Linked DNA regions of Danio rerio. The protein of the gene in region 1 binds, or shares a complex with, the protein of each later gene. Links are inferred from orthologs where the notes say so. Each region holds a gene or a part of one and is shown on either strand. Other genes may lie near its edges. The genes, in order: apaf1 and casp9.

What was found.
Region 2: the proteins of apaf1 (region 1) and casp9 are in contact, whole or in part, in a crystal structure (PDB 4RHW), measured with the Homo sapiens proteins. The link is inferred for Danio rerio from reciprocal best matches to the Homo sapiens genes APAF1 and CASP9. Residues at the interface, in NP_863651.1 of Homo sapiens: Thr22, Ser23, Tyr24, Met26, Asp27, Ile30, Ser31, Ile37, Glu40, Glu41, Arg44; in NP_001220.2 of Homo sapiens: Asp23, Trp26, Asp27, Leu30, Arg36, Pro37, His38, Glu41, Gln44, Arg45.

The regions. Positions count from the first base shown.
Region 1 is NC_133179.1:18,442,899-18,446,726, reverse strand, and holds part of apaf1 (apoptotic protease-activating factor 1), read right to left. Parts: intron 3,151-3,828; coding exon 2,998-3,150; intron 2,538-2,997; coding exon 2,409-2,537; intron 1,744-2,408; coding exon 1,618-1,743; intron 1,514-1,617; coding exon 1,394-1,513; intron 933-1,393; coding exon 807-932; intron 52-806; coding exon 1-51. UniProt on the Homo sapiens protein: Oligomeric Apaf-1 mediates the cytochrome c-dependent autocatalytic activation of pro-caspase-9 (Apaf-3), leading to the activation of caspase-3 and apoptosis. This activation requires ATP. Isoform 6 is less effective in inducing apoptosis.
Region 2 is NC_133198.1:27,923,017-27,926,844, reverse strand, and holds part of casp9 (caspase-9), read right to left. Parts: coding exon 3,777-3,828; intron 3,587-3,776; coding exon 3,439-3,586; exon of another isoform or gene 2,955-3,438; intron 492-2,954; coding exon 300-491; intron 1-299. UniProt on the Homo sapiens protein: Involved in the activation cascade of caspases responsible for apoptosis execution. Binding of caspase-9 to Apaf-1 leads to activation of the protease which then cleaves and activates effector caspases caspase-3 (CASP3) or caspase-7 (CASP7).

The DNA.
Region 1 (3,828 bases):
GGCTCTCCATCCAACAGTCTTCAGAAACTGTCGAACTTTCAGCCTTCCTGTCTGTGCAAACATACAAAACATAGACCTCATCTCTCTACAGCAACCCTTCATTGTTCCACTGATGTCTGACTTTCCTTGAGGTGGGGGAGATTATGCAATTAATAAATACATAGTGCATCGTTATATGGCATCTATATTTCCTGCAAGATTAAAAATGAAATGCATTAGATGTCCATTTCACACTAGTTGCAATTTGGCGCCCTCTGGTGTCTTGGAACTTTGCAGGAAAAAAGATTTAGATTTGTTTAGATTAAACATAACTACAAACTGTAAATCCAGAAAATCCAAGAAAACACTAAAGTTAACTGAAGTGTTTAAGCATTACAAAAATAACCAAGTGTACGTGTGTACATAAACATTATTTGTCTCGGTCAACAACACATTGATTATATAATGAACCGATTATTTTCATCCATGTCACACTTTCTAAAATCTAAAATGTTTGTTTGGCAGTAGAGGAGGAGTGTGATATATGCGAGAACACACTTTCGTTCTGTCAGTCAGCTGTTACCTCCAGGCATCTTAACTGTCCCAAATATCCAGTACAACACAAGAGGACAACACCCGCCTCCAGCACCATCAAACACAGCAGAGAGTGAAGAAAACACTGACTGCAGATGACAGCCATGGCAAAATCTCATCGCCGGAGGACAGTCAAAACACCTACTAGCATCCCCTGAAGGTCTGACAGTGCTTCGCATGGCCAAAATGAAGGTAAGGTTTTTTTAAGAATTGGATTAGGTGAGGTGATGCACCTGTACTGTTCCGTCCTCAGATCCCAGAGCCACAAATGCAGCGTTTCTGCTGATGCACGAACAGCGGATCCTGGATGACAGCTCCTCGCTCTCAAGCACGACAGCACCTGTAGATCCACTCAGCACCTGTGACAGTTTGGTAGTAATAAATTAGTAGCTTAAAATTGAAATGATTAGAACTTGCCTCAAGACAAAAAGTTAAACTGATCTGTACAACAAAAAAAAAAAAAAACTATGTACAAAAATGTACCTCACCTCACACACAATGTTAATACATTTGATTCAACTTAATTCAAATACTACATGTTTAATAAAAAAAATTAATGATCAAATTCATTAATTGCTTGAAATTAATAAATTGATTAAAAATAAATAAATCTTGATATGAATTAATGTTAAATTTAAAATGCTCGCTTTTAAAATGTGAGAACGGCAGTAAAATAATTGAACCATTAAAAAATAAAAAATAAAAAAAAGGAACCGATTTTAATATTTCTTAACAAAAATAAACAGATCAAATGAGCAAAAAAATCCTAGTAAAAATGGCAGTACATCAACTAATTGCACTGGTCCCTTGTGTCCAGTACCTGTAATCTGTTACTGCTATCGGGTGCGATGATCGTAGCATCACTGTGAGAGAACAGCACATCAGTGTCCCTCTTCAGAGCCACAGCAGAAGAAGTGTGAACCCGGTCCGTCTCCCACAACTGGATAACATTCAACACTTCATGATCACAGGTCAGTGCTGTTCAAAAGATCGCTGTAATGCAACTGACACAACGCAGGGAAGACGGGAGTAAAAGCAACTCACCCTGATAGTCTGATCATCAGAGGAGGACAGCAGGAGTGAGCCGTCGGGTGAAAACTGCACACAGTGAACCCAGCTCAGATGACCACTGCATTCGGCTTTCTTCTTACTGCTTTCGAAGTTCCACAGCTGAAATAAACAACACTTCTTAGCACTTCACCACACTTATGCCAGCCAGAATTACTTCAACCAGAGTTAACAAAAAAAACAAAAAACACAAAAACATGGCTTCCCTACAATAAAATCAATCACTGATTTTATGATCACTTTCTTCAAAACCTATGGCTTTATTAGCTTCAATTATTGTATTTTGCTGTGAAAGCACTAAAAGTTTGTAAAATAGAACAAAACTACATATAAATATTTTTTTAATCTTAGAAGGACAGGACTTCCAAAATCCCAGAGGGACTGTGTAACAGCGTTAGAAAAAATTATACATGATTTATGAATAAAATAAAATTATTTAAATTAATTCAATCTAAAAAATATATATAAAATCTAAAATAAAACACTGGTTATGTTCAAAAACCTTAGAACAGTTATTGGCATACAGCAATAGGTTTTTAAATACGCACGCAAAAAGTTAAATTACACATTTTTATATCTCAGTTATGCTTGAATGGTTAATTACTTTAAGGATAGCATAGATTAACATCATACTACAACAATTGCAGTATCCATAGATGTTTCGCATGTCCAAAGTCTAGTCACTGCAGCTTTACATGTTAATTGCCATATCAGTAAATTATTGATGTTTAATAATGTTTTAAAGAAAGTCATGATCAGTTTTGTACCTCTACGGTGTAATGCGAGAGAGCGACGGCCAGCAGGCTGCTGTTAGGACACGCATGACAGAACTGAATAGTGCTCAGACGACTCGTCTTCAGCTCCAGCAGCAGGTCTGACGTCTCCACATCAAACACCTACACACAAACACACAACATACAATCAGAAAACAAACCAATCTCATCTAACAGCTTGAGTATGTTGAGTACGTAAGTTATGTTTTAGAAATACTTTCAAACTCAGCATTTATTACAGAAGATTAAGCCAGTTAAGCCTTTTAAACCAAATGTCTTAGTTTCTTCTGCTAACACCATTTCATATCCTGAAAACACTCAATCATTGACCTCCGTAGTAGAGGAAAAATACAATGGAAGTCAATCTCCAATGGTTTCCAACATAACTTAAATGTCTTCTTTTGTAATCAACAGAAGAAACAATGCCATGGAGAATTACATTTAATTTTAGGTTAAACTGGCTATTTAATTTTGACTGTGTGTGAATCAGATTTTAAAAAGGCTGTATTTACAGGCACCAAATCAAAAATATTGAGTGGCAGTGCCAGCTCATTTCACAGCAACCACTCATGAAATCACTTACAAACACTGTGTTTCTGGCAGCACAGATGATTTGTGAGCCGTCAGCCGACCAAGTGCTGCATTTCACCATGGCCTTTATTTCTTCGTCACTCTCAGGAAAAAAACTATCGACATCAATTGATTTCCACTCGTTCGCAGATGACACTTCAAACAGCTGACAAAAAAAAAAAAACACAATTTAAGTGGTTGGTGAGTTAGTATATTTCACCCCTCTACTTTATATAATATGGTTAGGTTTTCATTTATATTCTGACTGTCTATACCTGATCAGGTATTACTTATAAAATAATCTAGCATTTATTCTATTTATATTACAATTGTTCAAACTTCTTTAGATTTAATTTCTATAGTTTCTATAGTTTAGATATAAACTATCAACATGTAAGAAATTTATTACTGATAAAACCTTTAAATCTGACCAAGCATTTATCCATCTAGTTGATTTTAAACTAATACCCAGTTACTAACAAACAAAATATTCCTTAAAAAAATACATTAATGGAATCCATTTATATATAAATACTACATCAAATTTAAATTGCTAAATGCAATAATATAGCATTTTCGGGTACTCAAAATGGTTTCCTCAGCCACCACAGGCATGCAGGAATGCATTCTGCACCAGACCCACACACCAGCTAATTGATTGATAGAGGGATGAAGCCAATTAGATAATATGGGAATGATTGGGAGGCCATAATCGACAGGCTAGTGGGCAAGTTTGGCCAGGATGCCAGGCATACGCCCTTACTCTGATTATATAAATATAATGCATAATTAGATATGTTACAAATAAGACCAAAATTACATTAAAGCGATTAAATGTCAAACC
Region 2 (3,828 bases), on another chromosome or scaffold:
TGAAAAAAATACAAATAAAAATACAATTGAACAATAATAAAAACATCTATAATTAATGAAAGTCAAGCATTTAGGCGAATTTCAAGTCACATCCTCCTTGCTTACAGCTAAAGCTACAGAATAGGCATTAGCAGAATTAAAAAAATAAATAAATAAAAAAAAACAAAAATTAACTTGGTTTGTCATACTGTGATTGCTATCATAACATAATATCTCAATTTATTATCATTATTTTTAGATCTTTCAGAGTTAATACGTTTAAGGGGGCTGAAATGACAGCCCCTGATCCAAACACAAACCTGGAAATGTTGAGTAGGACACCAGGATGTCACTGGGCGTGGGCAAACTTGCCCGTGCATCAAGTTCATCAGACGCTGTGCTGAGAGAGTCACTGCTAGAGGACATGGGAATAGCGTCCATCTCGTCATCTATCCCACCTATAGATGGTTGAACGTCATCTGGAGAAACCTCAAAACCAATATCCTTCTCACCTACAGGAGCAAACAATAGACAGTTCCATAGTTTGAAAAATAGCAATCAACATGGAAAACATTCAATTAAAATAAAGTCTTGGGTTGTTTAAATGGTTCCACTGATGTTTGGAGTCCATACACAAATGACTGTTTAGGCTGAAGACTGCATTGTGTGCCTTTAAAAATACTCAAATGTGCATCTTTGCACTTTACATATACTTAGATAGCACATTTCTTGTATTTGGGCCAAGTTTTCAACCTGCCTGTAGACTAACTTTGTATTTTCCCACTAGACACACTTGTAATGCAAGTGTTTACTAAGCTTCATTTTGATTTTTAATACTTAGGATTTTAAAATAAAGATCTAAATGAATGTTTGGTCTTACCTGTAACAGACAGTACAATGTAATAATACATATAATCATTTTAAATAATGTACCAATTTTACACATTCATCATTGCACGTTAGCACTTTGTTTATCCGCTGAGTGTTTTACACTTACTCTGCTGTACATTTAGTGTGTGTTAATGGTGCTACATGTTGGTGTTTTTAAGAGCTCATATAATCTTGTGTACTTCCTGTTGCATGCACACACTTTCAAAAGGCCAAGTGTGGGTGTTTGGACAGAGCCAAACTCTTGAATGCCCGGTTTTCATGACAGTCTTTTTGATGCAGTTTTTTTAATCAGTTTTCACCAACATTCGGTACAGATGGTGATAAGAGACATAACTTTAAACAAAATGAAGAAAATATGACAATGTCAGCATATGGTGTTTGACCACTTTGATGTGTCAACAACCACAAAAGCTAATCAAAGTGAGACAATTTGTACACTGGCGCATTGAGACATTTGCATACTAACTAATGATGCACACACATTAAAATTCTGGGCCAAAACCAAATATTGTGGATGCAAAACCTAGAGTGAAAATGCTTTGTTATCATATTTTTTTATTTTAATAAACAATAAGCAATCATTTTGTAGAACTTAAAAAAATATTACTCAATAACTTAAATTAAACTGATAAAAAAACACAAAAGTAAATAAAATAACCACATTTTATTGACAGTAAATATTTAAGAGAAGTGGCATTTTAAAAGTGTTGTGCACAGCTAGTGTTTCCTCCCATACCAATAAATATCTGGTGAACGGTTATTATGACTTTTTAAAAATTTTATACAGTTCCTTTTTCAACATCAATGTTTTAATGTAATTAAAATATAATAGACTTCAGCATTTATTTCACTGTTTAAGCGTAAAATTAGATAAAAAGCCTTTTACATGCACACCTCTGTCAGGATCAGCAGAAACTCTGAGGTAACTAAATTTTAAAGACATGTCATGGGAAAAATGTTATTTAATGCAGTGCTTCTTGTGCATTTTGAAACCCACTTCATATCGTAAATCAATCAGCCAGTGGAGATCGTTGATTTTTAAAGAAAACAGACCTAAACGCATTGATTTTGTAATGGCATACAGTTCACCGAAAGCATTTGACCCAGGTTACTGAAATATTAAAAGTTCATCGCATGCACCCTATAGCACTATTACAAGCAGCAAGAACAAGTATACTACATAGAAATTTCTTGTTGGCTTGTTATTTAAGCGTACATGAAAAAGTATATGAGAACATGAGCGAAATATCCACAGAGCGGAATATTGATCGTGGCACATGTTGGTCGAAACTGCTCTTGAGCGACACAAACCATTGAAATGAATGGGTTTCATAGACCAGTACTTTCCACATCCAGTGTGAAAGCTGCTTCACCTCAAGCAGTGACTATGGCTGGACGAAGACTAAAACCTGCCCACTAAACACTGCAAGCCAGTAATGCACAGCCTTTTTTGGGCTTATTTGTTGGCCTCCTTTCTTTTTCAGCTGAAGAGCAAAATACTATTTTTGGTTGATAATTTCTGGAGGCCTAACATTAACTGCATCACTAAAAAAAACTCATTCTCACTTGTGTAGGATACCGTTCTGTTAAACTTTATATAATGCATGTAAATATGCAAGTATCAACCATTATATTGCATTCCATAAAAGTCTCCACTTCATAATGGTCAATATGTTCATGTCTGCAAATATTAAAGAATCATCTTCAGAACTGCCACTTCAACGTAGTCAAACTCTGTGTGTTATATGACTACAGTATGATACTTTCTTAATTACTTACTCCCAGGGATGTTTATTTCGAAGTTGATATTTAGCCACACCATGTTGGTGTTTGGTGTTTCGTAACATCAAATTTTTATGAGGTGGGTCATTAGCCCAAGGTTCAACATACACACATACACTATGAACTATTTAGTTTTCCTAATACACCTATAGCGCATGTCTTAGGACTTGTGGGGGAAACCAGATCACCTGGAGGAAACCCACGCAAACACGGAAAGAACATGCAAACTCCACACAGAATTGCCAACTGACCCAGCCGGGGCTTGAACCAGCGACCTTTTTGCTGTGAGGCAACAGCGCTACATTTTGCCGACTACAGTATGATACCTTCCATAAATGATGCACACCATTCACTGTGCAACTCAAATTCTACTATGTGGACGGTGCACTTACAACATGCCTGAAAACTGAAGCTATTTTGATGGTGGCTGGCTGCAGTACAGGTCATAAACCTGACCCTCTCCATGTAAATGAATGTTACGAGAGTCAAAAAAAATAATCTAATTGCACTTTAAAGAAATTTTTCGACAGTATAAAGTAGTTCTTACCATGCTGATTGTGTTTTTTTTTAAATTTGGGACATTCTGACTTCACTTTTTTAATAATATGTTTGTCTTTTTTTTTACAGTCTATTATACAAGAGCATACATGAAATGTTGAGGCAGAAGAACCCACTAGGCTCACATGTGTAAACTCGTTCCTCTCCTGTCATGTAGTTGCTTAAATGGCTTAAATGTGTCAGCAATTTTTAGCTACAAGACTCGTAAAACATTTTTAAGGTGCCCACCTCCTCCGCAGGCCTGGATGAAAAATAACTTGGGCTTGCCCTGAAGAGAAGGACAGTTCTGGCCATTGAGGTAGTTTGTGATTATCTGAATTGGGACAGCCGGTCCGTCAACACCATGAACTGCACCAGGGAATCGATTATGGCTTGCCTGAACATTAAAAAAGCACAAAAGAACCACAATATAATTTGGTAGTAGGATCCTATTTTGATGTTCTCCAAAATGAGGAAGCAATCAAAACCGCTCATGCAAACAAATGAAGGTTGTTCTTCTTTGTTGAGCAACTAATAGTGTTCAAATATAGAATATATTATATGTAGCATTTAGCTAATTGTTTTACCTCAGTGCCATGTGAAAGGATGATGACCACACAGCAGTCGTATGTAGAGTGA